Linked DNA regions of Nothobranchius furzeri. The protein of the gene in region 1 interacts with the protein of each later gene in a pairwise test. Links are inferred from orthologs where the notes say so. Each region holds a gene or a part of one and is shown on either strand. Other genes may lie near its edges. The genes, in order: zcchc10 and sfmbt1.

What was found.
Region 2: the proteins of zcchc10 (region 1) and sfmbt1 interact in binary tests that used the Homo sapiens proteins (3 or more experiments, as listed by UniProt). The two-hybrid records come from large-scale screens. The link is inferred for Nothobranchius furzeri from reciprocal best matches to the Homo sapiens genes ZCCHC10 and SFMBT1.

The regions. Positions count from the first base shown.
Region 1 is NC_091750.1:56,820,358-56,836,584, forward strand, and holds zcchc10 (zinc finger CCHC domain-containing protein 10), read left to right. Parts: upstream 1-7,550; 5' UTR 7,551-7,635; coding exon 7,636-7,676; intron 7,677-8,383; coding exon 8,384-8,545; intron 8,546-9,104; coding exon 9,105-9,146; intron 9,147-11,805; coding exon 11,806-12,031; 3' UTR 12,032-12,448; downstream 12,449-16,227. Other genes in the region: golgin subfamily A member 6-like protein 25, read right to left, coding at 1-2,101.
Region 2 is NC_091743.1:58,015,441-58,031,576, forward strand, and holds the start of sfmbt1 (scm-like with four MBT domains protein 1), read left to right. Parts: upstream 1-7,341; 5' UTR 7,342-7,433; intron 7,434-16,136. Other genes in the region: prkcdb (protein kinase C delta type), read left to right, coding at 480-609, 732-832, 921-999, 1,167-1,270, 1,427-1,600, 2,903-2,994, 3,077-3,139, 3,224-3,362 and 3 more. UniProt on the Homo sapiens protein: Histone-binding protein, which is part of various corepressor complexes. Mediates the recruitment of corepressor complexes to target genes, followed by chromatin compaction and repression of transcription.

The DNA.
Region 1 (16,227 bases):
TTTTCTTGAATTTGCCGTCAGAGCCTGACTGTGATTCGTCACTAAGTTCGTACATGGAAAACCTTTTCTTGCATTTGCTGCCAGAGCCTGACTGTGGTTCTTTACTAAGTTTGCACTTGGAAAACCTTTTCTTGCATTTGCTGTCAGAGTCTGACTGTGGTTCTTTACTAATTTCTTCAGAAAACCTATTTTCACGTTCAAATGTAGAAGTCATTCCCTTTTTAAATAAGCTAAGTTTGTCATCTGAGTCTGACGAGCATGGAGCATCTTTTCTGACCACATCAGTGAATCCAAGATCTGGTATCAATAATTCTAAGTCTTTCAGTTTGTTAGCTTGATCTTTGGGAGAAATGTTCCCAGTTGAGATGGACATTGATGATTTGCTAATTTTTCTCACTCTGGGAGATGTGCAATCTGAATATGTCTTTGATAATGAATTTTTGGAGCCTGACATCTTATTATCAGCACTTATGTGCTTGATTTGTTCTTTAAGCTCCTCACATTCCTTCTGTAGCTTGTCTTTTTCTTCCTGGCTGCGTCGCTGCATTTCCTGGCTTATCAGGAGCTCTACGGTCAGGTCGTCCAACTTTTCTGCAGTGTCTGGCCTGAAATCTTGAAATGTTATGCTTTCAAGTTCTTCAATGTTTTCCTTCAACTGACATATTTCATCAATGTATTTCTTATTTTCGCTCTTTGAGTCAAATGCCAGCTGTGCCAGTTCTTTTTCGTGTTTCTGTCTGACCTCCTCGTGTCCCACCATAGTTTGAGCAAGTTTGTTCTGGCACTCTTGGATGGTGGATTCTTTTTTCTCCAAGGAGTCGGTTAGCTGTTTGATTTCCAGCTGCTGTCTCTTTGTTTCCTGCAGGTGAGATTCTTGCATGCCTTCATTCTTCTCTTTCTGTTTTTGGCATCTGTCTTTCAAAGAGTTAATTAAAGCCTGCAGTTCTTGATTTTTCTGCTTCAGCTCCTCAGAAAATCTCTCGGCACTAATTTTCTCACGCTCAACCTTTTCAATGTCTCCACTAAGGCTTGCGATTTTTTCATCGTACTGCGAACACTTGTCCTGAAGATCTGATACCTCTTTATGAAGAGCGGCTTCAGAGTTCTGCAACTCTTTGAATCTTTCCTTGTCTTTCAATTCCTGCAGTTTGATTTCCTCCTCATCATTTATTTTTGTTGTGTTTTTAATTCCACACCCCATTTCTAGAGTCCTCTCTTTCGTGTGACTCAAATCTGTCAAAGGTTCGTGGAGTTTGGGCGCGTACGCAGTCCTTTGTTTAAACACGGTCATGTCCTCACTTTCTTCAACGAGGTCCTTAATTCTTATCTCAAGGTGCTCGACTACGCTGAACCAGGTCTCTGTCTTGTCATTGTTAGCTCTAATTTGATTTTTCCACTTACAAAACTCTTCGAAGGCTGACTGTAGACGAAAAATGTCCGTTTTAAAGTTCCCCAGTTTGTTCCTAACCTGACTGACCAATTCGTCTTTTTCAACAACAGAAACGTTAGCTTGTTTTAGCTCCTTCTCTGTTTCTCGTGCTTTGTTTTTCGTGGTTTCCAGTTCTGTCTTCAGGGTTTCCACCTGTTCAAAGAGAGTGGAAAGTTCTCTGTCTTTTTGCGCAGCTGTGCTATGCTCTTTACTGAACTGTAAATTTTGCTCAATTTCTTTTGTATATGTCTTCAGTAGCTCATTTAGTCTGCTAATTTTATTTTCACTGTCGATAACTGCATTCTGTAAAGCGCTGATACAATTGCCACTAAACTGGACTGTATCTGATTGCGGAGCCGGTCGTGTTTCCTGGTAGGGCCAGGCGTGTTTTTGATCAAACTCACCCATAGCTGACTGCAGCTGTCGTCTTAAGTCACAGATGAGCTGGTCTTTATTTTTGACTAGCTTAGCATCAGCAGAGGCTATGAACCATTGAATTTCATTGGCCCCAGATTCAGCTGCGTTTTTCAACTTACAAACGTCAACAATCTTTTGGCTTCTTTCAGTCGTCACTTGACTCACAAATTTGTCATAACCGTTCAAAGTGCTCATCAAACTAGAAAATCGGTTTCTCATTACCTCAATATCCTGCTTGGTCTGGTCAAGACACATTCTCAACTCATGATTTTCTGCTTTGAGTTGATCAGTTTCCTTTTTCCATTTTCGTTGCAGATTTCTAGACATCTCATTCTGTCCCACTGAATAAATCGGTCTTTCTTGCATTGGATCACTTTCTATACCACGATAATATGGCACCTGTGTTTCACAATATCTGTCTTCTCTTTCAAGTTGCTTAGGGAAACATGTTTTTCCCAGAAACATGGTTTCATTACACTGTCTAAAATCCTCTTGTTTCTTGAAGTTTGATGTTGAGTTCATCATTTCCATTCTTGAGAACATTTTGTTTAAGCCCTAAGTCTCGATAAGTTAAACTAACAGCTTTTCCGGGTAGTATTGTTTCTTAAATCACACAACAGGGATAAGAAACTGATTTCGGAGTGATACTCTTAAGCAACAGAATGCAACTGAACTGGCTTCTCAAAGGTTCTGATAGGTCTGTGGTAGTGATGATGTCATCGCCCTTTGATATGTCATCATAACAACTAATCAAGAAGAAGGAGACAACTCTAGGCTCCGCCCACTTGTATCAGGTGACCTTGTTGCCATTATTATTATTCAATGGACATTAATGCAACTCGATCGGCTGCGTGCACCCCACTAATTATATATCAAAACGAGCGGCTTTGCCATGTGAGGTGTGCTAATATTTTTCTAAGCAGTTCGCCTTACGATGATGAAATATTTAGCAAAAAACATTGAAAGGTTTCAAATTTTTATGCTGTGCCACTCTAAATTAGCATAATGATTTCATTATGATCAATTAAATGTGTGCATAATTAATATGTTAATTAAATGGCAGGCCTTTTTAATTAATTAATTAATTAAATTGAGGCATTTTTACACATGCATGAATAAAAATTATTCTTTATTAATAGTTGGATTGTCACTTTTGACCCTTTTTTATTTACCTATATATTTATTCGTTCTTTTTTTATTATTTTATTTTGTTTATTTACTTTTGATCTTTATCGTCCTCTTGGGGAATTTTGTTGCATTGACACCTGTAGCTTTTTGGATTTTTTAAAATAAAAAAGCTCATTAATTTAAATCTTTCAAACAATATTTTTTGTTTGAATGTTATAATGATTATTGGCATTGATATTTTATTTATTTTTAAGTCAATATTAAAGATGGCATTTTTGGTGGGTGGAACTCAGCTTCAAATGCACTGTAGTCATGGTAACCAAGTAATCAGCATTCAAATATCAATTCTGTAAGAAAAGTAATTGATCTACTTTGAATATTTAGCACAATTTATTCCTGTTGTGTGTTTTCCTGGGTACTTTGTCTTATTATTGCAATTTTTAAAACTTTTATACTTCTTTTATGTATAAAGTAGGGCAAAAAGTGTTTAGTCTGCCTCCAATTGTGCATGGTCACCCACTCAAAACGATGAGAGAGGCCTGTAATTTTCATCACAAGAATATCTGAACCACAAGAAACAAAATGAGAAAAGAAAAACTATAAAATCACATTGTCTGATTTGTTTTGGATCTATTGGCAACTTATGGTGAAATATAAGTATTTGGTCAATAGCAAAAGTCCATCTTAATACTTTGTTTACAACCTTTGTTGGCAATGACAGAGGTCAAATGTTTTCTGTATGTCTTCACAAGGATTCCACACACTGTTGCTGGTATTTTGGCCCATTTCTCCTTGTGGAGCTCCCCTAGAGCAGTGATGTTTTGGGGCTGACGTTGGGCAAAACGGACTTTTAACTCCCTCCAAAGATTTTCTATAGGGGTGAGATCTGGAGACTATGAGCCACTTCAGGACCTTGAAAGGCTTCTTATGACACCACTCCCTTGTAACCTAAGCAGTGTGTTTATGATCTTTATGATGTTTTAAAAACCCAGCTTCAATGCCCTTGCTGATTGAAGGAGGTTTTCACTCAAAATCTGATCATAAATGGCCCCATGTCCTTTACATGGATCAGTCATCTTGGTCTCTTTGCAGAAAAACAGACCCAAACATTCTCATGCTGGATGCTGTTGAGTAAACATCTGTCTGTAGCATGAAGCTGCCGTTCCGGAGCTGCCTTTAAGTGTGGGAACGGCAGAAGAGAATAGCTCTGTGTGTGTGCCTGTTCTCCGCATCGGAGCTCTTGCCCTGGCGAGCAGACAGCTGCTCAGGGGAGAAATTGGTGTGTGTGTGTGTGTGTGTGTGTGTGTGTGTGTGTGTGTGTGTGTGTGTGTGTGTGTGTGTGTGTGTGTGGCACAAGATTATGAGGACACACACAGCAAATTAATAAAATAATGTGGTTCAGAGTCTACAAAAGGAACACGGCTCATGCCCACCTTTTGTTTACCTTATGGAGCATATTAAGCGCCGCACACAGGCTCGGGGATTTCCGCATTCCTGAGAAGTCCCTCTGATTTCCTTAACACTACACCACCTGTTCGAGACCGAACTCATGCCATCCAGCCCGACCAAACCCCGACCATGCCAACGCTAATGTGTAAGCGCCATTATACTGATAACGAGTTCCAACAGGTGCCATTAATACAGGTAACGCGTGGAGGACAAGGAGCCTTCAGATCTGTGAGAGTCAGAAATCTTGCTTGTTTGTAGGAAACCAAACAGTAATTTTCCACAATTATTTTCATTTAAATTCTGTAAAAATCAGACAATGTGAATTTCTGGATATTTTTCTCATTTTGTCTCTCATGGTTGAGGTATACCTATGATGAAAATTACAGGCCACTCATCTTTTTAACTGGGAGAACTTGCACAACTGGAGGCTTTTCCCCATTGCTGCTTGCACCAATACCACTAGGTATTCTGTCTTCTTTTAACTTCATATGTTTTTTGTCATTATATCATTACTTGTGTTGTTGTTTGCGCCAGGGATGTGAAGAAACAGTTTTGACATTAAAGTGGAATTAAGTGAATTGGGAAGCAGAGCAGATCTCAGGATTCTCTTGTAGAACCAGCTTTCATTCATGATGCAGATGCTGTCCAGAACAAAAATAGGTCTGTTAGTCACAGTTATTCTGACTCATCCCTTCAGACCTAGACTTCTGGGAGAAAAACTGAACGCACATCTCCCTCTACATTTGCATTTAAAGCTATATGCCATTCAACTTTGTTTTCTCTGTTTAGCTTCTATAGAAACAACAACTTACCCAGCCTGTATCTCTTTCATGGGTGTTGCACCAGATGTTGCCTTGGTGACTCTGTAGGCCAGATGTAGACTCAAATTACAATATTTCAGCACTCATGGATAAAACATTTTGCTTCACATTTAAACCCTGTCTCCATCTATGACTCAACATGAAACACCATTGACTCATGTGATCAGTTACATAACGCTGTGTGTGCATCGTGCCAGCATCACACCAGCATCATGTCTGCACGCATGTAAATAAGAGTCACCAAAGAACATCTGTAGATCCATCATCAGGACCAAGTCCTAAATGATGAAGTCAATTAAATTGTGTTTAATTCAGTTTATTTATATGGCATCAAATTACAAGAAGAGTCGTCTCAAGGCACTTCACAAAGTAAACATTCTAAAGCGGTTCAGTTCATTAAGCCAATCAGTAAAAAGTTTCCTATATAAGGAACCTAGCAAATTGCATGGAGTCACTGACTGGTGTCAGTGACTTTACAGCAATCCTCATACTAAGCAAGTAGCGACAGTGGAAAACTCCCTTTTAACAAGAAAAACTTCCAGAGGATCCTGGCTCAGTAGGAATTGCCATCCGCCACGACTCACTGAGGATCGAGGAAACAGAGCAGACACCCCCCACACATACCAGGAAAAGTGCTCTTTATTTATTTATTTAGGACAGTGCATGTTAATGAACATAAATGTAAATGCAGCTTACATGAATGTAAACATGCCAGATTATAGCCAAAGGCTAATTTCCATCTGTTGTCCTTAGACATAAAAAGACATAATGATTCATGAAAATTCATCATTCATTCATAATCAAAACTCCATCACCAAACCTACGCCATTCTATTCACAAATAAAACATCAAAACTATACAACTCGTACATGATCACACACTTGATTTGTCCATAACCAGTTTTTAACATTTGCCTTTAAACAAATTGAAAGTCGAGCATTCTCTAACGGGTTGAGTGCCTGTTAAATAGTGACAGGCACCAAAGTAAAATGGTAAATGGCCTGTATTTGACATAGCACCTTCTAGAGTCCTGGAACCTCCCAAGGAGCTTGTTGTGGCCACCAGCCTGGCCTCTTCAGGTGCAGGAGCCAGGATCACCCAGCCTCGGTGATCAGCCAGGCACCGCCCCTCTTCCTCCTTTCTTCCAGGCTGCTGAGGAGCACAGCTGAGCTAAATCATCTGGTGACCTACACCTGGGATAAAAAGGCCGTGCCTTCAGCAGTCTGGGAGGCAGCAGTGCAGGGGCTAAGCTGTTATTCATGCCTCATTTTGGTTTCAACCCCTTCATTTTGATGAGTCTTAATTTTAATAGTTTTAACTCTGAGTGATCCAAAGGGATCTTTGTTTGATGTCAACTTGGTTGACTTGGTTTTAAGGTTAACGTTGTAGTTTACTGACTTTGGGATTTTAAAACACTCAGTGTTTTTCTAGTGTGTCAGATTTTACTATCAACTTGAAGATTTTGGAAACACTTTCTGTTCAGTAAAACTTTTAATATAAGTTTTAACCAGGTGTTTTTAATGTTGGTAATTGGTCTTTTAGTGTTAACCTTTTTGAGAGTTTTTTTTTTGTTTGGCATTTTTTAAACAATGCTCACCATCTGTTTGCACTTGTTTTTAGAACCTTTTATAACAATTAAACCCATTTTAAACCCACTATCATGTTTCTTGTGTTCCCCTTCCTTCACATTTTAACACCTCCTGTCGGGGACGTAACAGTGCTTTACAACACAGTCATGCTCACCCTGGTCTGGTCGATGAGCTACATTCTAGCCACAGCTGCCCTGGGGTACACTGACAGAGGCGAGGCTGTCGAGCGCTGGCGCTACTGGTCCATCCGACCACCATCAGCAAGCAAGGGGGGTTAAGTATCTTGCCCATGGACACAACAACAGCGACAGACTGAGTGGGGCTTGAACCTGCAACCTTCCGATTATGGGACGAGCACTTAACTCCTGTGCCAGTGTCACCCCATACAAAGAGTAAATACGTAGACACCTCATGGGATGGCGCTGCCTATTGGAGCTGCCGAAGTGGCCGGCTGCCATCTTAGTCTCCATTCGGCACACTACCAGAGGCGAGTCTGCCTCTGTCAGTGTGTCTGTCAGTGTAATTAAACAAAATAAATAAACAAATACAAATCTAAAATCCTATCAGGTAGGCTAGAAAAGTCACTATAGTAATCCCACATGATCTATTTACAATTGTACGCGGGTTGTTGTAACCGTGGGATGCACAAAAACGGGCATAGTTGCGTACTCTGCATTGCCTTCGGAGAATGAAGAGACCCATCCAAAATGGCGACGACACGGGTGGTTACGTATTCTTTTCACTCCTTTACATTTCCGGAAATAGGCCCTGAGCTGACACCAACGAAGAAGAGACTTCAAACATGGCGACTCCCATGCATAGAATAATAGCGAGAAGACAAGCGTGAGTAAAACATTTTTAAACTTAGCGTAGCAATATTATTTTAGTATATTTTGTGTCTACATTTGTTACGTTACCACGTGCGGTCTATAGCTGACCTACAGTTTTACATTCAGCCTGTAAAGAACGAACTTGGAGGGACGGGCATCCCGCGGCTCTACGAAGCGCTACGTTGTGTGAAACTGTACTCTTCTGAAGCTGTTATTTATTTTTATAATACCCCAGTTTAAGTAAAAAATAATTTTGTTTACATCGATGTTAATGTCAATATAGTTATAACCAATAGTCGGATCAAAGTATTGAGAAGAATCGGGACTTGGGCAGAGTTTTGATAATTTGTGATTATTGGTGGGGTTTCAGTTTCTTTGGTGGAACACCTGCGAGTTTCTGAGTTTAAAATGAAGTATTCATTACTAGTGTATTAATTATGAGATGGCTACATAAAGCTTCGTGTAGCTTCTCAACTATTTTCTTTGCCCAGAGGTTCACGTCTTCGATGCATCATTCATTGCTTATAGTGACACCTGCTGGTGGAGTTAAACTACGGCAGCCATCATTTTTTTCATAATTTATACTGGAATCATTTGTTCCATTCATTATTAATTTTAAGTAATCTGACAACAAATACATGTATGTGCAAATGTCTTACTTCTGTAGTTTATGTATTTTTTCCTGTTTGGAAGGTATTTATTTATTTTTATTGCTTACAGGGAGGCAAACAAACAAAATGTGCGTTGTCAGAAGTGCTTGGAGATGGGACACTGGACTTACGAGTGCACTGGGAAACGGAAATATTTGCACCGACCGTCAAGAACAACCGAAATGAAAAAGAAGCTGAAGGAGATAGAAAACAAACCTCTCAGCATCACAGGGTGAGTCATCTCTGACAGTTTGAAGGACAAGTCATTTACACCTGGACTTCATGTAGGGTTGGGCAATAAATCGAAAATGTATCGTTATTGAAATTTCTGACTCTTATCGATAAATGTTCCCATGTCATTAAATTTGATAATAAAAAAATGAAAAGATGTGTGTAGGTTGGCAAAATCCATGTCCCTTTAAGAAGCTGTGCAACCTTGAGTGACTTAAAAATTTGATTCAACGTAATACATGTGACAGCCCCATTTATGGACAACTTTTGTTTCTGCGCATACCAAGGTGAAATCCTCAATATATCGTGATATTGATTTTAGGCTAGATCGCCCAGCCTAACTGTGCATAAATAAACCCACAAAAAATGATAATTATAACTGAGAACTCAGTTTTTACAGTGAAATTAGATTTATAAATAATTCTTAAATTTTGACAGTGTTTCAAATGATCTCAAATAGAAGTTGAATTTGTTTAACTAAAATACATAAAAATACAAACAAATGATTTTATCAATAGTGACTGAACTATATATAATGTTGTGATTTTTCCACATCACAGACCTGGAGGAGAAGCTTCCAGTGAAAAGAAAACAAAAAAGAAGTAAGTAATCTGATAATTTACTAGGGATGTGTATTGGTGAAACTCTGATAATACGATACGTATCAAGATACAGGGGAGACAAATTCGATATATCACAATATATTGTGATACATTCAGCCAGATGATATTAGCATTTTTTTTTGACAGAATTTATTGTAGGGAAACTCAGTCCAGTCCAAACTGAAATGTAACATGTTCAATATAAGGTATCTTATAAAGAAGAAGAAAATATCATTTCTATAGCGCCTCTCAAGATAAAAATCACGAGGCGCTTCACAAAAACAAAAAATGTAAAAATATAAAAAATAATTTAGAAAATGGTTAAAAATATATTTAAAATGAGCAAAAAATAGACAATTGTGATTAAAAAAAATGTTAAGAAAGAGAGAGAGAGTGAATAGGAAAGAGGGAAATCAGTGCATCCTGAGGAAGGTGGAATAGAGAAAGGGATTTATATTTCAATGGTGGAAACAAAACCCATTGCACACTGCTGCTACCTAGTGGTCGGCGTTTGAATTGCACCAAAAGAAAAGAAAATACACAAATGTTTGCATGTAAATTCCATGTGGCTTTTAAAGATCGATACAATATTGCAGGAAAAAATATCACAATATATTGTCATATCGATATTTTCTTACATCCCTATAATTTACTATATTGAAATATTTTAAAGAAGTTTCATAGCTGTGGTGTGGTCATTTCTAGTCATTCATTTTTGGATGTAAAAGATTTTTTTATTCATAAAGATGATATTTTAATTCTTATGTTCATATTTCTCAACTTGTACCACTTTAAACAGAATTGTGACTTAACAGTTCCATCTAGTGGCAGTTGATGAGAAGTGAAACCATTTTCTTGGTTATTGTCTGTTTTTAGACAAGACTCTTAGTGAATTTACATTTGATTCTTGTTTCTTTTGTACTGTGATAGTAGAACAGCTTCACATTTTCCATCAGTTAAATTGTTGTTACAGATTAATTGGAAAGTCAATTAAAAAAGTAATTATAAAAAGATTTAAATGTATCTTAGCCTGTTTAACCCTAACGCCCCCCAATTGGGTGCCTCTACAGTTTCATGTCCCAAACATCTACAACTGTCCACGTTCTCCAAACACAACTAAAACCACAATCAAACAGCCCAGATGGGAAACAAGGCCATTTTAAATGGTAATAAATTAAGATACAACGATCTTTGAACTTTATTTTAGAAGAGCATCTGACCTTCTCTGGTGTCTGCTGGGAAAAAACCCTTGAACACATTTAGTTGAGGACCCTGGAATAAATAAAACAATTGACAACATTTCCTAAATGGAATTTGAACTCACAACCTCCATCCTGTCAGCACTTTCACACAGGGCAGCTCTTCTAACATACAGTTCAAGTATTATTTTATCTTAATGTATCAAAATCCAAAAATTACTTTGTTTACAATCTAAACAGTTTTGATAGTAGCTGTAGTTGTGCTCGGGGACTTGGGACATGGAACTCCAAAGGCCCCCAACTGGGAGGTGCCAGGGCCCAAAGAAAAAAGGCCTTGGGCCTAAAGGGTTAAAAACTGTTCAGTAAAAAGTACTTAAATTCAATTTTAATGTGTTTGCAATAAATGCTTTTTTTTTGTTGTTGCATCAACTGGTGTTTACATGTGTTTCAAATAAGCTATTATTGGCTAAAGAAGACACATAAATAAGGGTATTACTGCTAAATCTCCAATACATTTGTTTGAAAACATGTACTTTTGCAGAAAATCATCTCATATGATCTCAGAGACAGGACAGCTGCAAAGAACCAACATTTCAGACATTTTTTGTTATTTTACGAATGTGAAAATCTTTTTGTCACTATGTTTGTGCAAGATGACACCCACAGCTGCCTGTTTAACATTCCAGTAGATGTATCAATCAATCAATCAATCAAAGCTTTATTTATAAAGCGCCTTCCGCAACCCTGTCAGGAAGCCCAAAGCGCTGAACATGGTACAGTTGTAAGTAATTATACTGAATAAATCAACAATAAAAGAAATTCAAATTACAAAATACAAAATGGAAATAACAAAATAGATGAAACATTCCGGTAAAATACAAATGTGTGAAACACAATTGGATTGAGTGGATGGATTGAGTGTACCAATGAAAACTGTGGAATGGATTCAACATAATAGAGGGCCATAATCAAACATGTTCTGGAAACGCCAAGTGGAGGAGGTGTGTTTTTAGGTGATTCTTAAAGACTGGCAGAGAGGGGGACAGCCTAACTGAGGGTGGCAACTGGTTCCAGAGTAACGGTGCTAGGACTGAGAAAGCCCGGTCCCCACGGGTACGACACCTAGACCGAGGGACAGCAAGCAGGCCTTGGTCAGAGGAGCGCAGAGCGCGTGATGGGGAATGTCTGTTCAGGAGTGTGGCCAGATAGGGGGGAGCACCACCCTGGAAGAAATGATAAACAAAGACGAGGATTTTGAATTGTGAGCGATAGGAAATCGGAAGCCAGTGCAGGGAGGCCAGAACTGGACTGATGTGGTCCCGTTTCCTGGTCCCAGTCAGGAACCTGGCAGCGCTGTTCTGCACAACCTGTAGGCGACGCAGTGTTGACTGACACAACCCTGCAAACAGGTTTACATTTTACTGCTCCCATCCTGTTCTCTCCTTGTGCCGCGCTTTTAGGGCAAAAGACTCCAGCGACGACAGCAGCAATGCCGACGGCTCCTCCAGCGACTCGTCAGACAGCAGCGACTCCTCCAGCTCATCTTCAGACGATAGCAGCAGCGACAGCGACGACAGCTCCTCCTCATCTTCCTCCTCCACCTCTTCGTCATCAAACAGCTCAGACTCGGGAAGCAGCAGCGATTCAGATCAAGGGCCTCCAAAGAAGAAGAGAAAGAAGAAATGAGCATGCTGGGAAGAGTTGGCTTTCTGTTTGCATCTTATTTTTCTGCGTTATTTTCCCCAAAAAGTCCTCAAGTGTTTTATTTTTTTCAGCTGGTTTATAAGGTTTGATTTAGTTGGACAACGATGGCAGATGAACAAGAGGCTGGTTTAAGCTGTGTTGTTCTGTTTTTCTAACTTCTTGTCTCTGTTTTGTTGACTGTGGCATTTTCTCAAGTTTCTTAAAGTATTTGCAATTAAAGAGGAAACTTTTAAAAAACAAATAGAACCAATGCAATTGTTCGAATACTTTAATGTATATTTAAGCTAATCCATATAATCACAAATGTATGTAACAGCTGGTAAAGAAAGGGGAAATATTGTTCCTGTAAAGTTTGTTCCTGTAAAGTTATTTCATTTTAAATAAACTAATTTGTACTTATCAGGGCCTTTAGATTTTTGACAGCTTGTCAAATTTGGGATTTATAAATGAAATGAAATAATATCAGATCATGCCAGCTGATCTCCAGGCTGCAGTTTAATGTCTCCATTTTTAAAAAGACTAGAAGTAAAGTTTAGAAACAGATGGGTAGGTTGCTGAGGTCCGTCTGTGTTTGGTTGATCAAAAATATTTCCGCCTATGGTGATCAACATAAACTGTTCCTTTAAAAGGTGAGGCGTCAGAAAATTGTCTTGTCATTTAATCCAACTAATCTGAAATGAAATCCAACTAATCAGAAATGAACGAAGGGATTATGATGTTAAAATGACTGGGGCTTTGCTGCCCGGAGAAGTACAGAAATTGAGCATCGCAAAACTGTGTTTTGGAAAAAACTCATTTTTTACTCGTATTTTTAATCTTAAAATAAAACATAATGCAGTAAAATTGTTCGGTTAAAAGACAATCTATCAATAAACAAGCTGGGAACAATAAAACGTGCTCGGTTTTCTCCTGTACGTCAAACACGGGCAACCTTGCGTCACTGAAATGTTGCGTTCACTGTAGTAGGAATTCAAGAGCTCTCCATACACTACTGGTAATTTCTGTTTATTTTTTAATTAATACACATTTCACTAAAAAGCTATACATTTTTATTTAGTATGAACACCTTCATTCTTTAATACGATCTTAATTATTTTAACATTACAAAAAGCATATTTAAAAAAATCGGTTTTCTTTACGTAAATGGCGTAACCTCTTATTATTATTACTAATGTTGATATTGTTGTTGTTGCTAGAGGTACTTACTCGGGGTCCTTAGGTTTTTTGTAAGAATACTACACACTAACTACACGTTCAGTTCTTAGGTTTGACATTTTTCCATCAGCACGCGAAGGCGGCTCCTCTTGCTGTCTGTAGTACCTGCGGGCTGCGTAACTTAGCTATCAGCCACTTGTATTGAAGAGTAATACAATTCGCGAGAGATAAAATGGTTTGCTTTGTTTTCCACTCGATGTGCTGTCGCGTTTCAAAGAAAATATGAGGCGCATCTTTTTAGTTTTAGCATTTTAACTGTTAACAGCGTTTCGCCGAGTCCATTTTCTGCGTTGAACTGGAAGTGGAAAAAGACAAAGAGAAAAAGAGCTTTCCAACAGCTAGAATGGTTTGGGCCTAAAAGAAGACAAGAGGTGAGAATGCTCGCTGTCAGAAAACAACGTTACTTGTTGACCTCATGGTTGTTGTACATTACAGTCAGTGTTATTTAAAATTTCCGCAAAATTATAAGCTTCCGAAGCTAACTAGCCTAGCATGTAGACGCTAACGGTGAGATGCAGGTAGTCCTAAGGAAGCACATTAGCCTCATGCTAAATATTTTGAATACACGGTTGGACTTTGTGTCTTTTAGGAGTTCTGGAGCTGGGAAACGTTTTTTATATTGGTGACATTTGTGTCACCTTTAGTCCGTGCACGTTTACTAAACCTGCGAAAAGCCTCGCACTAGGGGTGAATTTGTTTTTGTTCCTGGGATGTTCTGACATCTGATATAAACTCAGAAACGTGGCTGACACCACTTAAAAACAGATAATACTCAAACAAATACGATGTTATGTAACATACAACGAGATCACTGGTGGTAAGTTTGCTGTAGAAATAAACAATCTGTTATGTAGTGTGAAACAAACGTTGCAAAATATACACAGGATAAACTAAACCATACTAGCAGTACACTTGTTTACTTCACATACCACAGTGTAGCCAGTCCACAACCCATGAGAGCGTAAGGCTCTTGTAAAGTGACAAACAAATAGTTTAAAGGTGCACCAAAGTCTATCAAAAGGTTGATGATGATGGGTTTTTTAGGAAGCCATTTTACATGTCATAGTTGGGGGAAGGGCCAGAAAATGCACCATAAGTCATTTAGTATTCCTCTGAAGAGTTAAAGATGATTACATGTTCAGGTTATATTAATGAGAGCTCTGGGGTGGCCCTAAGGTCACTGACCTCTGTCAGTCAGCTGTAAACTGGCACTGGTGGTACATAGAGCCTGTGGTTTGATCATGCAGTGTATTCTTAATGTGTCTTTTGTAGAGTGTTTTACATTAAAGTTGACATGATTAAACTAGAGAAAATGCTTGACCTTGAGAAGAGACTATAGCTAAAGGCTACTGGCCTAGTCGTCTAATTGAAGAAACTTAATTGCAGGTAGATAAAATAAACTGAAAATACCAGTCTAAGTAGAAAGAAAAAAGCATCGAGGTAAATGTGAGTACAAAATTAGAAGTGTTTGTTTAGCATTTTCTAATGCAGGGCAAAGCTTTCTGGAAGGGTCTCCTTGCTTTAGAAAAAGCCTTTCCCAAGATTAAAACATCAGCATCAGGTTTTCTCTTTAACTTAAAGTTTTAGGTAACATAAGCCATTTGTACAAACGGCTCGCTGGTGTTGTTGAGAGTTGAAACGCTGGACTGAGTGATGTCTGGGTGGAATAGTTTGCATTAGGGTAGCCACCGATTGCTGTGTGCTGACAAATGAACAAACTTGTTTTGGTTGCTCCCAGATGTCAGTTTTTTGTTTATATGAATACAGAGAAAACAAACAACTAACGTAAACAACATTAGTAATGTGTAACTGTGCTCCCAGTGACGCAGCTCGCTGCTGGAATCCGCTTCACTTCCTGTTTAGGGTTTTACCTAGAGGCTTTAGTTTAACTATTTCCCTGGTTGTCGAGGCACAGGGCAAATGCTCTGTCAAGATGTTCTGGTGACTCATTTATTTCAGACAGAGCTGAGAGTTTGTTGTCTTTGGCCTTGACTCGGCTAATGTACAATGCAGTCGTCCTACAGCGCCACTTTGCAGGCGGGATATTTCAGGAGCAATCCTGTGTCTGAATTACCTGCCAATGATTCAGAAAATCATACCTGAGTTAACAAAACATCGCTGTTTAGCCTTTTTTTAAACAATTTTCAGTCTTTCTGAATACTGAGCTCAATTGATAGAGAAATAAAAGAAAACATAGCAAGTCTTTTCAGAATCGACATTCCTACAGGCAGAAAAAGTGAACTGAGTCAGTAGCTAAAGGTATGTCGGTTTGTTATCGAATATTTTCAAAGAACAGCTTGTCATGAGTAGGTTGCTTGAAGTGCTCATTCCAGAGTCTGCCAGTTTAATTAGTCCAAAACTTAACGGACATCAGCCACTCTTTTCTTTAACTCTCTGTTCTGTTGCTCACACAGCAGAAACTATTGCCACTCATTGTGTCCTGACCTCACACATCTGTTCTGCTTTTGTTCTCTGCGACGAGAGTTAAGCTCTCATGTGGCTGAATGGTCCTGTGAAGGTGAAACTCATTAAGGCCTTTTCATTTCATAGGGCTACTGTGAAAAACCTTGTTCTTGCTTTAGAAATGGTGTGATAGCCATATGTTGGAGGAGTGAGATGTCTCATCAGTTGTAAAGGAATGTATTGGACAATATATTATTTTTTAGCTGATTGGACATTTTCCGATTAGTGGTGTTTTTCTCCCTCGAGGTTGCATGTCAGTTATGGAGAGTGCAGTTATGTATTTTGAGGTTCCATATACAAGCTGTAATGTGCATGGTAAGGTTAACCCTTTAAGCGCCAAAGTCGCAGAATTGCGACAAGCAGCAACGTTGGATTTAATAAGCCACAGCAGCAGAAATGAGCCCTCATGCACTTAATACGTTACACAGCGGGGTGGCAGACACCTGTAACTTCAATCCAGGCAGCATTTGTGGGTGTGTTACTATTCAAACTTTTGGAGT
Region 2 (16,136 bases), on another chromosome or scaffold:
AATCCAAACCATATTTGCCTTTAAAATCACCCCCACAGAAAGATAAAATGGCACATTTAGTAGGAAAAACAAACTGTTTTTAATCTAGAGTAAAGTGATCAGGCTGAGTGTGTCACACCTAAAACAGTCCGTGCAGAAACATTTCCTAAACATGCATCATTCTTGGCCTTTTTGAAAGAATGAGTAGCGTATAGATAAGTAGGATCAGTCTGAATTGGCGGATTTTCAGCATGTTCAGATTGTTCATGGTCTAATACCATCATGTGCCCCACCCCATAAAGTCATAAAGTTATTTAACTGATAAAATGAGGTTTTCCATTATTTCAAAAATAATTTAAGTGTAGCTTGCTAAAAATTCTCTTCACTCTAAAGCAAATTCAATTCAATTCAAAAATACTTTATTAATCCCAGAGGGAAATTGATTATGCACACACAAATGAAATGTTTCAGTGGGTTTAATTGCCTCTATGTGCATGCAGTTCCAAAAGGAGCGTTTCAAGCTCGACGTGCCACATCGCTTCAAGTACTACAACTACAAGAGCCCCACGTTCTGTGACCACTGTGGCAGTCTGCTTTGGGGTCTCTACAGGCAAGGCCTTAAATGTGATGGTGAGCCCGCACAGCTCTTTATCATGTGGAGTTTCTGATGTTCATTTACTTTCTGCTGTTTCTAACAAAATTGTTTTTTTATATGTTCTGTGTGTCTGGGCATTCTTTATGCTGCTGACTAGCGTGCAGCATGAACGTTCATAGCCAGTGTCAATCAAAAGTGGCCAATCTGTGTGGAATCAACCAGAAACTCATGGCTGAAGCTCTGTCTCAGATCTCCATGGTTAGTGGAGCAGCATTCTTTGAGCGTTTTAAAATTTTTTTATGAATATTTAGCCTATTAAATTCAAATGTTTATTTTTCCACCCTAGAAAGCTAAGAAACCTGATGAACCCAGTGGACCCGATGTTGGGATCTACCAAGACAGAGAAGACATTACAAAACCAAGTGGTAAGACGTCTAGAGAATAGCATCGGCTGTGCTTGTAAAAGTTTCAGTCAGTTATTAAGTTCCACACTCACGGTGGTGTTTAGTTTCATCATCTAGAATTGTTAAATTTGCATGAATATTTCCATCTTTGCATATTAATTTACTCAATTGCAAACATATATTAACAGAGGGCAATGAAGTGAGCCCCACCCCTGTTCCAACTCGTCATCTTCACCTCACCCTTGACCACTTGCAGTTGCTCAAGGTGTTGGGAAAGGGCAGCTTTGGGAAGGTACACCCCATCTTTAACATAAAGTCACTGTAATGAGCCCTCGTTCTTTTTGTTTAGTAGAGAACTCTAATTCTGATCCTTTTCATCATCATTGTCAGGTGGTCCTGCTGATATGCTCTCTTGTGTTCCTCACAATATTGCATCTGACATCCCCAGGTAATGCTGGCAGAGCTGAAGGGGAAGGGACAGTTCTTTGCTGTGAAGGTTCTGAAGAAGGATGTGGTTCTTATGGATGATGATGTTGAGTGCACTTTGGTGGAGAAGAGAGTCCTGTCTCTGGCTTGGGAGAACCCTTTCCTCACCCACCTTTACTCCACATTCCAGTCTAAAGTAAGCGGACACAGAAAATACGCTTCTGGTAACAGTGCTGTGCACAACTGTATTAAACTGAGCAGGATTAATCATTTCGATTAACTTTGAACAAATCAAGGCTGTTTTGTGTTTGATTAACTTGACATGAGTGTAGCTTAAAATGGAAACCAACAAATACCGTTACCTTGGATCTAATGACTGCCTTAGACTGACTTTTATAACAATTCTGTTGCTTCTTATACAAATAAAATTCACAAGGGCAGATTGTTGTCTGCCATTAGCCCGCTGAATGCTGTTTGGTATTTACATGCCTGACCACTCCTAAGTTTGTGGGGGACCTGTGTTTGCAGCATAGGGACATAATGTTTCTCCCTTATTATCAGGCATGGACGTGTAGCCAAACTGCACAAACATCATCTTCGTTATATATGAATGGGGCAACGGTACCAAAACAGTTAAGTGTAATCAGAGGGTTTGCAGGCTTGAGCCCCGCTTGGTCCGTCACTGTCATTGTACACTTGGGCAGGACGCTTAACTCACCTTGCCTGCTGGTGGTGGTCGGAGGGACCGGTGACGCCTGTGTTTGGCAACCTCGCTTCTGTCAGTGTGCCCCAAGGTAGCTGTAGCTACGTTAGTTCAATGCCACCAGTGCATGAATGTGTGCGCGTGGATGAATGACTAATTGTGTTATGTGCCTTGGGGGGTTGTAGAATCCTAGAAGGTAACAGGCCATTTACCAATGAGACTTTAGTCTGTAAATGATGTACAGTAAATTAAATTTTATTAAAAATGGAACCCATGTTCTTTAAAAGTCTCTGCAATTCATTTAAATTAGAATTCCTGAACTTTCTTTTTTCATAGCAATGCTTAAGCATCCTTGGATTAAGAGAGAGCAAATGTGTTGTTATTGTTATCATCATTATTGATTAGATTAATTGGTGTAAATTAATTAGTAGAAGCAAAGATTCAGATGCTACTTTAAGTTCTGACTGCAAATTATTACCAATTATAAACTAATTATAGTCATCTGCCAGAATTTAATTACTTGTATTAAGATTGCTGGATGTTTGGTAACCTGTACATTTTGAGGCTGTTAAATAAACTAATGAATTAAGTTAGAATGTCTGCACTAAACTGTCTGCTGATAAAACACATCACTGTTTCTATTTCTCTTGATTTTCTCTAACGGGGAATAAACTATCAGCAGGGAGGAAGAAATTTCCCTTCTGTTTGATAAATAGTCAGACCCTTACCTTCCCACTGGATGTGAATGCATTCATGTCTGGTTTGTGTCTTGACAGTCGTATCTTGTTTCCACAGGAGCACCTCTTCTTTGTAATGGAGTACTTAAATGGAGGCGACTTGATGTTTCACATTCAAGAGAAAGGCCGCTTCGAAGTGGCCAGAGCTACGTGAGTACACAGGGAGCAGTTCTTTTCCACAAATGAGTTGTGTTGAGTAAATCTGTTTTATCTGTTTTCATTCTACCTTTAGCTTCTACGCTGCTGAGATAATCGTGGGTTTACAGTTCCTCCACTCCAAGGGAGTCATCTACAGGTAATAGGCAGTGCTCAACTAGTGCAATAGGCTGCAACTTCATTTTATTTTAATCTTTTAAATGAGTTTTCTTTGTCTTTTCAGAGATTTGAAGCTGGACAACATAATGCTGGACAAAGATGGACACATTAAAATAGCTGATTTTGGCATGTGCAAAGAGAAGATCACTGCAACAGAAAAAGCCAGTACATTTTGTGGGACACCAGACTACATTGCCCCAGAGGTACGTCTGACAGTCTGGTTATTGTCGTCTTTGATTCTTGCTGTATTTGGAGCCTTTGCCAGTATTCCTACATGCATGTGCATCGCTAATTCAGAACAAAGGGTTCCTCTGGGTTTCTTGTTTTTCTGTTTTACACACCTCTGACTTTTAGGAACTGTTTTCTCAGATCTTGCTTGGACAGAAGTACTCGTTCTCAGTGGACTGGTGGTCATTCGGTGTGCTAGTTTTTGAGATGCTGGTTGGTCAGTCACCATTTCAAGGTGATGATGAGGATGAGCTGTTCGAAGCCATCAGGACAGACAACCCAGATTACCCTCGGTGGCTCAACAAGGAGTCCAAAAACCTGCTTGAACAGGTGAAATTTCGAGTTGTAGTCATATTTCAAGCATTAGAGACTTTGAACTGTTCTTGTAAATAATTCTGTTTTCTTCTGTCGTCTTGTCAGTTGTTTATACGAGAGCCCAGCAAAAGGCTGGGTGTAGTGGGTAACATCCGCGAGCATCCCTTCTTCAAAGTCATCAACTGGACATTGCTGGAGAAGAGACAAGTGAATCCTCCTTTCAAGCCCAAAGTGGTATGTTTTTATCTGACTGCATCACAACTTTAGTGAGAAACATTCAACTAACTGAATTCCCTCAACTGCTTACAGAAATCCCCAGGGGACTGCAGCAATTTTGACCGCGAGTTCCTCAATGAGAAGCCTCGCCTCTCCTTCGGAGACAAAAAGCTCATTGACACTATGGACCAGAATGCATTCAAAGGCTTTTCCTTCATCAACCCCAAACTGGAAAACATGATCAGCAATTGAAAAAAAAGCTGAAACACAGTTTTCACTCGGCACATTTAAATAGACTCTTATTTTATTCTGTTTTCATTTTTATTTGGTGAAGGGTCGACTGGCTTTGAGCCTGACTTTAGCACACTTTCTGGGTTAGAAGACGATAAAATTATGCCAAGAAGTTTGCTGAAAATTCAAGAGATGGTCTTGTCTCAGCGACCAGACCAAACAGGTGAAGCGGAATAAAGCTTCTGAGAGGTAAGAGAATCTATTAATGCTGCAGGGAGGACAATAAACAATGTATTTAGCTTATTTTTGGATACTTTTCATCATTTTTCCCCGTATGAGCACTCTTTTGGCTCTGTATGAATCATTCAGTTAACTGTATCATAAGATTTTAATACACCGGCACAAGTGTGAAACCTTTTTATTTGTCAGACGATACTGCTGTAAAAACCAAGCATCACACATGTAAGCTAAGGCACAAATGGTACACTCTGACTCTGTCCTCTCTCTAGTGTGTGCCTTTGTGCACAGTGTGGTGCCACTTGCTTTTACAAAGCATAGGGGTGTGTGTGTATGGATACTTTTTAGATGCAAATTATTCTCTTGTAGCCAGTAACGTAGTCAGTTGAAGAATGGTCCAGCCATTGTAGAATAACATAAAGGTGAATTTTAAATCCACTTTGAGTGAAAGTATTTAAATTGTGGTACTTTTACTGAAAAGTGCATTCCTCTGTGTAGAGTTTTAGAAATGTGTTCATGTAATATTTTAATTGCTAAGTTAGAAATGCACCAAAAATCTGCTGTTGGAAATAAAGTCTTATTCTCGTTTTCTTTTGGCTTGCAAATGCATCATGAGCAGTAATATAAAATCCAATAGTTTGTCAGTCTGTGAACTCGTTATTGCCAAGTACTAATCCATGCTATCAATAACAAATCTATCTGCATTTTTATTTTCAAGAATCATGAACTTAAAGTTTATTAGAATATCAAGATGTTTTAAGAGAAATCTGAATCTGTTGAATCTGGGGCCTTGGTGGTGTAAAAGTAAGAGAAATCAGCCACCAGATGTGGAATTGTGCATTCAACTCCAGTTCACCAACTTTGTCCAATAATCTGTGTTAAGCTGAAGCATGTTTCTATTCATTCTCCCATCAGACTGTTGGAAGGAGAATTGGCTTGTTAAATACTACACTTGAATGTGATGAAGGATATCTCATATATATATATATATATATATATATATATATATATATATATATATATATATATATACATATACATATATATATTCGTCTCTGTCAGTGTGCCCCTGGGCTGCTGTGGCTACATCGTAGCTCATCACTATCAGTGTGTGAATGTGTGTAAATGGATGAATGATGCACTGTAGTGTAAAGCTCTTTGAAGTCCTTACTCTGAGAGGCGCTATACAAGTGTGGGGCATTAATCATTTATACTTGGAGGGGCATTTTCATTGTACAAACTGATTGTATTATGTCATGTATGTTACAGTAGTTAATGCCAGAATTCATGAAAATCAAAGATGAATACAGAAAATTAATATTGTCTGTAAGTTATGGGTATACTTTTTTATTTTTTACTATTTGTCTTTTACAAATAACTGAATAAATGTGCTTGTAAACTCAGTACAACTGATGTTTGTAAGGGTTTGTAGATACAATGAAATGTTTTGGTATTTAAGCAGATTTTATATTTTACACTCAGTTTTTATGTTTGTTGAATTATAGCTCAAATTGAAATAGTTGTGGTGGTGTGTTACCACCTAGTGGTCAAGGTCATAAAATGCATCTTCCTTGTCTCGTGCAAGCGCACGCACGCCTTCTGACTTGTCCTCTTCCTCTGCAGCTGAACCTCTTTCACTGATGGGATGTTTGGAGGGGAAAAAACGAGAAACTGGTTACACTCGAGCACAAACATGTGTTTAAGGCATTTGTTCGTATTTCATGCAGAAATGCAGTTCTACCCGATGCGACATCAAAGTCGATCTGTTTTAAATGTGTAGAATGCTTTATAATCAACATTTTAGGTAAAACACGTGGTTTAAATGCTTCCCAATTTTCTAATTTGAATCCTCGCCATTTTTACGGCTTTGCAATAATTCCATTGAACAAACTGTTGTTAAATTCACATTTTTTTATATTAATTGCCATTTGAGTGTCTCGCGCAACATCGTATGAAAAACCTGTTTCGGGTTGGCTCAGCACTTCTTTGTTTGTTTCGACCTGCCCATGTTCAGAAATGGGGTTTTCTTTTGTCAGAACGGGCAAAAGGGAGGAGGATTATTGGCGGCAGCAGCCTTCATCCGGTCGGAATGAGTGCTTCGGCTTTCAGATGCTATAAGAGAGGATTTTTACACACCAGAAAGACACTTATTTGATGGAGGACTCGGGTATTTTACGTGGACTTTGAGCACTGCGCTCACACTGTCAGAGCACATTTCCAGCAGTTTCTCCCGCCCTCCCGTCCAGAAGGGAGAGGAAACCGGTGACATGATGTGCAGCACCTTGAGCGATGATGACAAAATGTGCTTTTGGTCGCTAAAATCGGGCGTCATTGTGATGTAACATTTTCTTTTTAAAGTAAGTCTTCATTTAAAACACACCTCTACTGTTTCTTTTTCCTTCTCAAGATGTTCTTGAAAAAATGGGAATAAAGCAACTTGCTATTTTTAAACAACCTCTGCGTTGGTTTTACTGGTCAAAACGCCACTAGTAAGAAAATGAGTCGATTATCTGCTTTTAATAAACCATTAACTATCTCTTGATTCAAGAGAGGATATTAAAAAAACAACCCAGGATGTGTGAATAAATCATCAGCTAAACCATCAGCCTCTTTGTTTTCTTTTATGTTTTCGTATTAAATTGTGTGTGTGTGTGTGTGTGTGTGTGTGTGTGTGTGTGTGTGTGTGTGTGTGTGTGTGTGTGTGTGTGTTGTAAATGGAAGTCAGTATGATGATGAAGCCAGGCTCAGAGGCATACAGGCGGCAGAACATGCGCAGTGGACACTTGTGCCATATTGGAATGAGGTCGCGAAAGAAAAGTGCGTCAAGCTAACATGACGCCGCTGGAGCCAATCCGGAAAAGCTGCGATTAAACCCTTTCGCGATAAAAGCCCCATGCTTTACTTTCACGAAAGCCGTGGCCGCGTATGCGTCTTATTTTGAAATGTCAACCCGGAAGTTAGGCATTTACCTAATGATTGACAGTTTCTGCGAGCGAGCAGGCGGAGAGGAACGGCATCAAAAATCGACTTGTAAAAACTACTTAGCGGTAAGGTTGGAATTTTGTGACTAAATATTCACGTACTTTGTGGTGTTTGGTAGGAATTCCTCGCGGTGTTTTGCACCGTTGCGTCGCGTTCGTCTTTTTTCCCGTCTCTCAAAAAGATGAGTCTGCTTCGGTCTAGTGTAAGCGCCCTTATTGCTCGCCACAGCTTTGCTCCTTATTGCTCAAGCCGTGACGTTCAGTAACTTGACTCGGACACAGGCGGTCCAGCCATGTGTCCAAACAGTCGTGCATGTCCCTCGCAGGCTAATGTTAGTGGTTTTTATTCGCTAGGGGACATTTTTAATTCGGCGTTGTGCTCATTGTGAAAGTTAGCGCTGTAGTGTCTCTGCAAAGCCTTTCATGGCCCATCTCTCTTTCTCTCTCTCTCCCTCTGCGTGAATGTGTGTGTGAATGCAGCGCAATCTTTAACCAGACACAGTTCAAGGATTGTGTGGAAATTTCCAGTTATTTATCCTTGAACAACTCAGTGTTTTTTCACCATGCCGAAGCCTTACATAATGAAGGTTGCACGACCTCATCCGATGTGTTTGTCAGTCAGCAGCGTTCACATAAACGCCACTAAACACTCACAAAACTCAGGTGTTTATCAAGCTGACGATGCTTTGCCGGGTTTAATCAGTTGCCATGTTTCCCCCGCGTTGACTCGATGCAGCTTTTTTATTCATCTGGCCCTTCTTTAACTTCCCTATTGTGCAACTTGAGTGATCCGACCACTGACTGCTCCGCGCGCTGCTCGGGTTGACGTTCCGCTGCGCAGAGGCGGCAGCAGCGACCTGCAAGTGCACGGAGCAATTCACTGACTTCTCTTTTAAAGGTGTCTGTGTGTGTACTTGTCTTCATATGTTTAAGTGGACAAATCTTAACAAACCAGTAACGTGGACATTTCCACATTGTGGGGAAATCTTGCTGGTCCGCACAATGCTGCACCCTTAAACTGGTATGGTGTGAATTAACTTTTGGTTAGGGTTAGGAATAGAACCCCACTGTTTATGGTTAGGCACAATTAATGGGAAATGAATTGATGTCCACACGAACATATAAATACAAGTGTGTGTGTGTGTGTGTGTGTGTGTGTGTGTGTGTGTGTGTGTGTGTGTGTGTGTGTGTGTGTGTGTGTTAATGGGGTGAATCACCATGATCCACTGAGACGGATCTTATTTGATTTGATCTTTCAAACATTTTCAGTGTTCACATTAATGCAGCGGAGGAAGTTATTTAAATCTTCCTATGAGCTGAGAGGGTGTTTATTACTTTATTGTCTCATTTCTCTTTTAAATGACTCAACCTTTAAACTTGCTTGAATTTTATGTAAATTTTTTGGAAACACATGAATTTAATTTCTGAGCAAGTCTAAACAGAGCATAGGGCTACTTGATTAATAATGGTAAAATAACTCAGCAAATTGGGGAATGCTGCTTTTATTTTACTTCTTTAGATGCAAAATCACATGATGTGGCTCATCACAATAAGAGCATGTGATTTCTGCAGAGCACCATTGTTTATCATGGACTTTGATTGCTTTGGCAGTTTTCCACTCTCATACTTTTTAATGTATTTTTTATACATTCACAAATATAGACTATAATAACAGGTAGAGTTGGTTTGAAAGCAAAAAAACTTCTGATTATGTAAAGTTCAAAATTTCCAGAGATCAAAAATTTTAGGTGACTTCAGTTAACAGTTTACATCAGCAGGTGGCAGACTTTAGTTTTTTTGTAGTGAGCAACAACATTTAATAAAACAAAGAAAAACTGTTATGGTAGCCTGTAGGGGTGTGTATTGGCAAGAATCTGGTAATTTGTTTAATATCAAAATACAGTGGAGATGATGCAGTGTGTATATATATGTGCAATTTTTAAGACCGAATTTAATTGGAAAACTCAAGACACATCTGGTGTTATCCCATTGTTGCGTCTGAATGAAAATGGTAAAATCTGCTGCCACCTAGAAATTATGAAATTCACCCTATTAAAGAAATACAGTACATGCTTACATATAAAATAAAACTAAATTCAGTATCATAGCTAAAAAAAACTAAATTCTGTATCATAGCCAAATATATCTTAATATTTCTGTATCGATATTTTCTTACATCCCTATCAGCAGGTGTCAGAGTTGAGTTGTTTTATAATAAACAAAAATGTTTGTTAATGAAACAGAGAATTAGCCTAGATGCTGCATTTTTAAGTAGAGCCGTATCGGGAGCCTAAGCCATCTACTTCCAGACCATGGTTCCCCTGGAAGAAGGAAAAATGAATGCAAGTTAAAAAGGCTAAAAACACAATTTTCTAATCCCGTTTGTTATGTGTCATAGATAAATATGATATCCGTTAGGGCTGCAACAAACGATTATTTGGATAATCGATTAATCGGATGGGGTCTCGACACGATTAATCGATTAATCGGATTACATGGGGAAATTTTTAAAAACTGCTAGGGAAACGTTATTTCTCTCCTTCCTTCACTTTATTTAACACAACATTATTAGAAAACAGTTCAATAGCAGAAAAACAACATGCCATCACCTAAATTGTCTTATAAGGTGTATAGACAGAGACCCTAAGCTACATCTATCTGTGACCTAAAATGCTTGGTCCAAGTTAAACAGCTTAAGGGCAATTCTCATCTGTTTTGTTTGATCTCATCTGTTGACATTTATTTTAAATGTAATTAAACATAGGCTGTGAATTAATCAAAATTGATCACTATTTCCAAAAATGACTGAAAAAATACCAAATAAAACAAAAGTAAATGAATGCCATCCTCCTTGCAATGATGCCCTGGGCAACTGCCATAAAGTCACATCAAGAAATGCTGTTGATCATTCCAATGATCCCAAATAGACTCACATTAGGCCACATGAAAGCAACTGAACCCAAAAATATATTAACCAGTATATAACTGCACTCTCACACAACACGCCTGCAGCAACAGTTAGGACTCCTCCCTCCCTTTTAAAAGCGTTTTTGCTTCCGAGGACATTGTGGTTGTAAAACCACATGCTAGTAGTCTGGCCCCGGTGTGATCAACCAGTTTCTGCGGGAATGTGACGGCGGAACCAGGTCCTGATTAACACTTTGTTGTACCCTGGGCAACAATATTCAAGGGCTCCATCATCACGACCCGAGGATCACCATAATGTGGTCACATACAGAATATTTTACTGTAATATGCAGTAAATATACTCAATACTTGAATGCCTGACAACACGTAACCCGCCCAGGGTAACCTTTGACCCACCTCGTGTGGACTGACCAATGAGGAGAGGGTCTTAACTTGAGGCCCTCTCTTCATTGGTCAGTCTGCATGAGACTGACTCTCAACTGACGTTCAGAGTCATAGGCAGCGAAGCGTCTCTGTGCAGCGCAAAAGCCCGGGTGGACAGTTTGTTTAATGTAGGGTGATCATATTTCCATTTCCAAACAAGAGGACAGGGGATCTGTGCCTATGACGTCACACTATGGCAACACCACACAAACCATGTTGGGACCCATTTTTTGTAAGAACTAAATTAATATCAGATTCTGCCAATAAAAGGGCTCTAAAACAATTCATATGTAAATATTTTGCATATTTAATGCAAAAGCTCATTTTTATGCTTTAGTGCTGCAACAAGGTTTTATTAATAATAAATTATTATACCTTTTGTTTTACTACAGCATCGGTAAGCTTCCTGTGCACAGATTATTAAGGATGCTTGTTTCAGCTGTGAGATTAGACGATAGGATCAATGAAAAAAATAAGTTGTCACACACTCCATGGAAACTTTCAGATAATCCACAAATAGTGGCTTTCAAATGGTTTTGTTACTTTTTGCAAGTTTAGAAAAGAAGCAGATGAGACAGCATGTCTGATAATTTAGTTTTTCATCTGATATATTAGAACATGTCAGTAATGTCTGAGGGGCTTTTACAAACACTGTATAACTAACACTACTGGAGAGGGTATGAATTACACAGAGGCTTCTGGGGAGCCCAGTTATGGGGGGGGGGGGGACATTTTGCCTTGGCCCCCAAAATGTCTTGAAACGGCCCTGGGTGTGTGACTGAGTTTTGAAGGTGATCTGAATTGTATCAGATGTATAAATATGACATGTGTATAACTTATTGTTTTTTACTGGTAAAAACGTGTAGTGGAGATAAATCTACCTACATTTTACTTTGTTTTCTTGTTTTTATTTAACTATTTTCCTGTCCTGTCTGTCTCTCATCTTCCTGCATCTCCTCATAATTCTCCAGAAAATCTGTTGCCTGGATTCTTACTTTTTCACCTCATCAGTTACTTTTGAGCAGATCAAAGAGATCTCCTGACCGCAAAGCGGAGAGCTCGTTTTCGATGCTGCGTGAGGTGAAATCACCACAGCACAGGTGATGAGCTCCGCAGCAGAGCGCTTCAGGCACAAATAAGACAGAAAATAGAGAACATGTGCAGACAAGAACGATCGTGTGCTAATTATAGTTTTTTGGTTGCGCCACTTTGAGAATGGACCGTGCGCTGGAAGCAGCTGCCTGGATCGCTGTGCAACAATGCGGAACCGGTTCGCAGCAGCGCAAGTCTGCAGGCTCTCCCTCGCGCTGATCTGCTGGTACCGGCTCTCCCTCGCGCTGATCTGCGGCTCTCCCTCGCGCTGATCTGACTTGCTCTGGTCTGCGTGCAACGGCGGGCGGGAAGGGGGTGGGGGATGGGGGGGGCGCTTTTGGAAGAGTTGTGCGACACAACGAATCGATGACGCAATTCGTTGCCAACGCTTTTAGTAATCGATTTTCATCGAATTCATCGATTCGTTGTTGCAGCCCTAATATCCGTGAATTTAAAGATGTGTTTTGATGCCAAGAAAGCGCTTATTTTCGAGCAGGGCAGAAGGTTATTTTAGGGTTTGTATATCCAGGATCACCAAATTGATTGAAGCAGAGGAAAAAGGGCTGTAAGGTCGGCGAACTTTGAATCCATCCATCAGGAGGAAAGAACCACCATCTGGCTAGGGATGCACGATATTTCAGCATCAATATTGGTATTGGCCAATCATTTTTGAACATATCAATATGGTCTGATAAGTAAAACTGGACTGATATATTTTTTCCATCTTGTTTCAGTTAGCAGTGTTTCCCTTACATAGGCGTAGCCGTGGCGGCCCGCCACGGCTGAAATCCCACCGCCACGCCTACAAGATCCCAAGATTTATTGATTTTTTTTTTTGCGCCATTTCCCGAAGAAGCAGCGGGAACTACTCTGTTGTTGCTTGTGATCACAGCCGGCAGGCAGCAAGGAGGAGGAGGCAGGGCAGGGTGGTTGCAGCTAGGGATGAGCGTACGGATGAAGCGTTATTGACGAATACGAGCATGAAACGAGTGTAAAACTCGTAAACATCTGTAATCGTGGTGAAGGAAAATCCTCATTGGATAACTGACTGTCTTCATGCTCTGTGATTGGCCAGTCATAGAGCGCCCGCCCCTCCGGGAGCTCAGTCAGTTCGGCCCAGGCATCCACGCGTACACACACACAGTAACGGATCTCTCTGTGCTTGCTTCACTGTCTCTCACATTTCTTCAGTACTCCCTACGTTTTCTTCAGCTTGCCTGTTTTTCAGTTCAATATTTAAAGTTACCTTTTTCGTAATTTACATGGTGCATTTGACAAGACAGAGCTGAAAACGGCTCGTGCATGTGTCGGTCACTGCCTCCGCTCCGGTCGGGTTTTTAAAATTATTTTAACTCTCTCTCTCACACACACACACCTTAATCAACATTGTTTTGTTTAACTGTGTGTGGGAAAAATGCCAACAACGTTAGGAAAAAAATCTGTTTAATCAAATTAAAATAAAAAGTTGTGTCTGGTTCTAGTATTTCATATTTCCTAGTTCCTACAGCATGAGTTCAGATGCATTAATTCATGCACTTAAATAATAATGTTCTGATTTTACTGAAACTTGTTCTGTAATAGTTACTATTGTGATCAAAAATATTTCATCTCAATTCTGAGGCTGCTCTGTAAATAGTTTTCAAATAAACAATAGTTTATAAATAAACAACTTCTGATCAATCCGTATCAATTTCAGATTTAAAATAATGTATTGATGTAAACCACACCCACTAATTTCCAAATAATAAGAGGTGCATTCATCTGTGTATGTCCTTTGATCCGCATTAGTGAAATTTTCAGCACCAGAACAATGAAGCAAAGAAACAGATTCCTGAGTTTGTTAGTAATTTTATTTATTAGGTGCATCTGACCTGTTCTATTTTTCTCTGAAATGAGATCAAATCAGTGCTTCTATGGGTTGTCTCCACTCTGCACTAGAAACATTTACTTTATTATAATGTTCACTGTAATGCATCTTGATGTTCTTAACAAATAAATTAAATAAAAGATATTGGTCAATAATGCCAAATATGTAAATTTGTGTTTCAGTCATTTTTATACTGGCTTAAAAATACTTCATTAAGTCTACTAAGCAGGGGGTGTAGAACATTTTTAATAGGGCCAGCCCAGTAATGATCTTGGGCCAAAATAAAGGGGGCAGAAAGTCAAATAAAGGGGGGCAGAAGGAGATGTTTTTCCAGACGCCAAGAAAAATTAAATGCCAAATCCCCCTGCAAAGTGTGTCACTGAGAGTTTAAAACAGAAATTATTCTTGTGCAAATATTGGTGTATTCACCTTTAATACTAGTTATTAAAATATAGCAGTTGCTGGATTGGTGCAGTTCAAAGTGGAGTGCATCAAATAAAACAATATTAACATAAAGGTGAGACGCTTGTGGAAGAAAACCCATCTCCACGTCCATCTGCTGCACCTAAAGGATCTTCTGACATCCTTTAACTCTGCAGTCAGATACACGAGGGTTTCCTATTTCTCCAGCCTGGTGTCCCAGAGCAAAGGGAACCCCAAGGTGCTGTTTAACACCATCAGCAGCATTGTCTCTCTTGCCTCTCCTACAGCCTCCATCCACTCTGTTGCAGACTGTGAGAACTTTGTCTTCCTTTGTGGACAAAGTCAGTAAGGTTAGATCGAGCATCTCTCCTTCAGCCTTATCGCTGCCTCTCCCGGCTCCAACCAGGCCCATCATCCTAGATAGCTTTGCTCCTGTTTCTTTGCCTGAGTTAACCAAACTAGTTAACTCTATGAAGACCTCTGCATGCCCCCTCGACATCTTACCCTCATCTTTGTTTAAAAGTGCTTTTCAGTCCATCGGTCCCAGCGTGCTCTCTATAATTAATGCTTCTCTGGTTTCTGGCCAGGTCCCTGCTTACTTTAAGAATGCTGTAATCCACCCGCTTCTTAAAAACCGAGTCTTGACACCTCTCTCCATAGCAGCTTCAGACCCATCTCTAAACTTCCATTCATCTCCAAGATCTTGGAAAAGGTTGTGGCTAAACAGCTCACATGAACATAACATCTGTGACTGCTAACAGTCAGGTTTTCGTAGAGCTCATTCTACTGAAACAGCTCTTCTTAGGGTCTCTAATGACCTTCTGACTCACAGTGATGCAGGGGACTGTTCTGTTCTGGTCCTGCTGGACCTGACTGCAGCTTTTGTCACTGTTGACCATCACCTGCTACTGGAGAGGCTGAGAGACTGGGTAGGCCTATCAGGATCTGCTCTGGAGTGGTTCTCCTCTTATCTTTTTGAGCGCTGCTTAGACTCTATCAAAACCTGGATGGCTGGGAGCTTTCTACAGCTGAATGAAGATAAGACTGAGATCCTCATCTGTGCCCTGGACAAGCTGTTTCCCAAAGTAAGAGACTCTCTTGGTCAGCTTGCTTCTCACACCAAACCTTCCGTCAGGAATCTTGGTGTGACCTTTGACCCAGCTCTCACCCTGGATTCTCATGTCAGTTCTCTTGTTCGCTATTCCTTCTTCCATCTCAGAAACATTGCTAAGCTGAGTCCCATTCTGTCCCGCTCTGAACTTGAGACAGTTATCCACACCTTCATCTCCTCACGCTTAGACTACTGTAACTCTCTTTTCACGTGTCTGGGTAGAAGCTCCCTGAACCGTCTACAGGTGGTTCAGAACGCCTGTGCTCGGCTTCTGACCAACTCCTCCAAACACACCCACATCACCCCGCTTCTCCTCCAGCTTCATTGGCTGCCAGTCAACTTCAGGGTTCATTTCAAGATCCTGGTTCTGGTCTATAGGGCCTTACATGGACAAGCACCATCTTACATTGGTGATCTTCTTAGTCCCTACACCCCCAGCAGGTCCCTGAGGTCCAGCGATCAAAGCCTACTGGTTGTGCAGCACCAGGCTAAAGACCAAAGGTGACAGATCATTTGCTGCTGTGGACCCCAGACTCTGGAACTCTCTCCCCCTGAGCCTGAGATCAGTGGACTCAGTGGACTCCTTTAAAAAGCAGCTGAAGACTCACTTGTTCAAAGTGGCTTTTGTATGACCTTCTTCACCACTCTCTCCTTATTCCTCTCTCCCCACCTATTCCACCTTTCTCAGGACCCACTGATTTCCCTCTTTCCTATTCACTCTCTCTTTCTTAACTTTTTAAAATCACAATTGTCTATTTTTTGCTCATTTTAAATAAAGTTTTAATCATTTTCTAAATTCTTTTTTATATTTTTACATTTTTTGTTTTTTTGAAGCACCTCGTGATTTTTATCTTGAGAGGCGCTATAGAAATGATATTTTCTTCTTCGTCTTCTTCTTCTAAATAATGTGGGGTTCTGGTGGGAA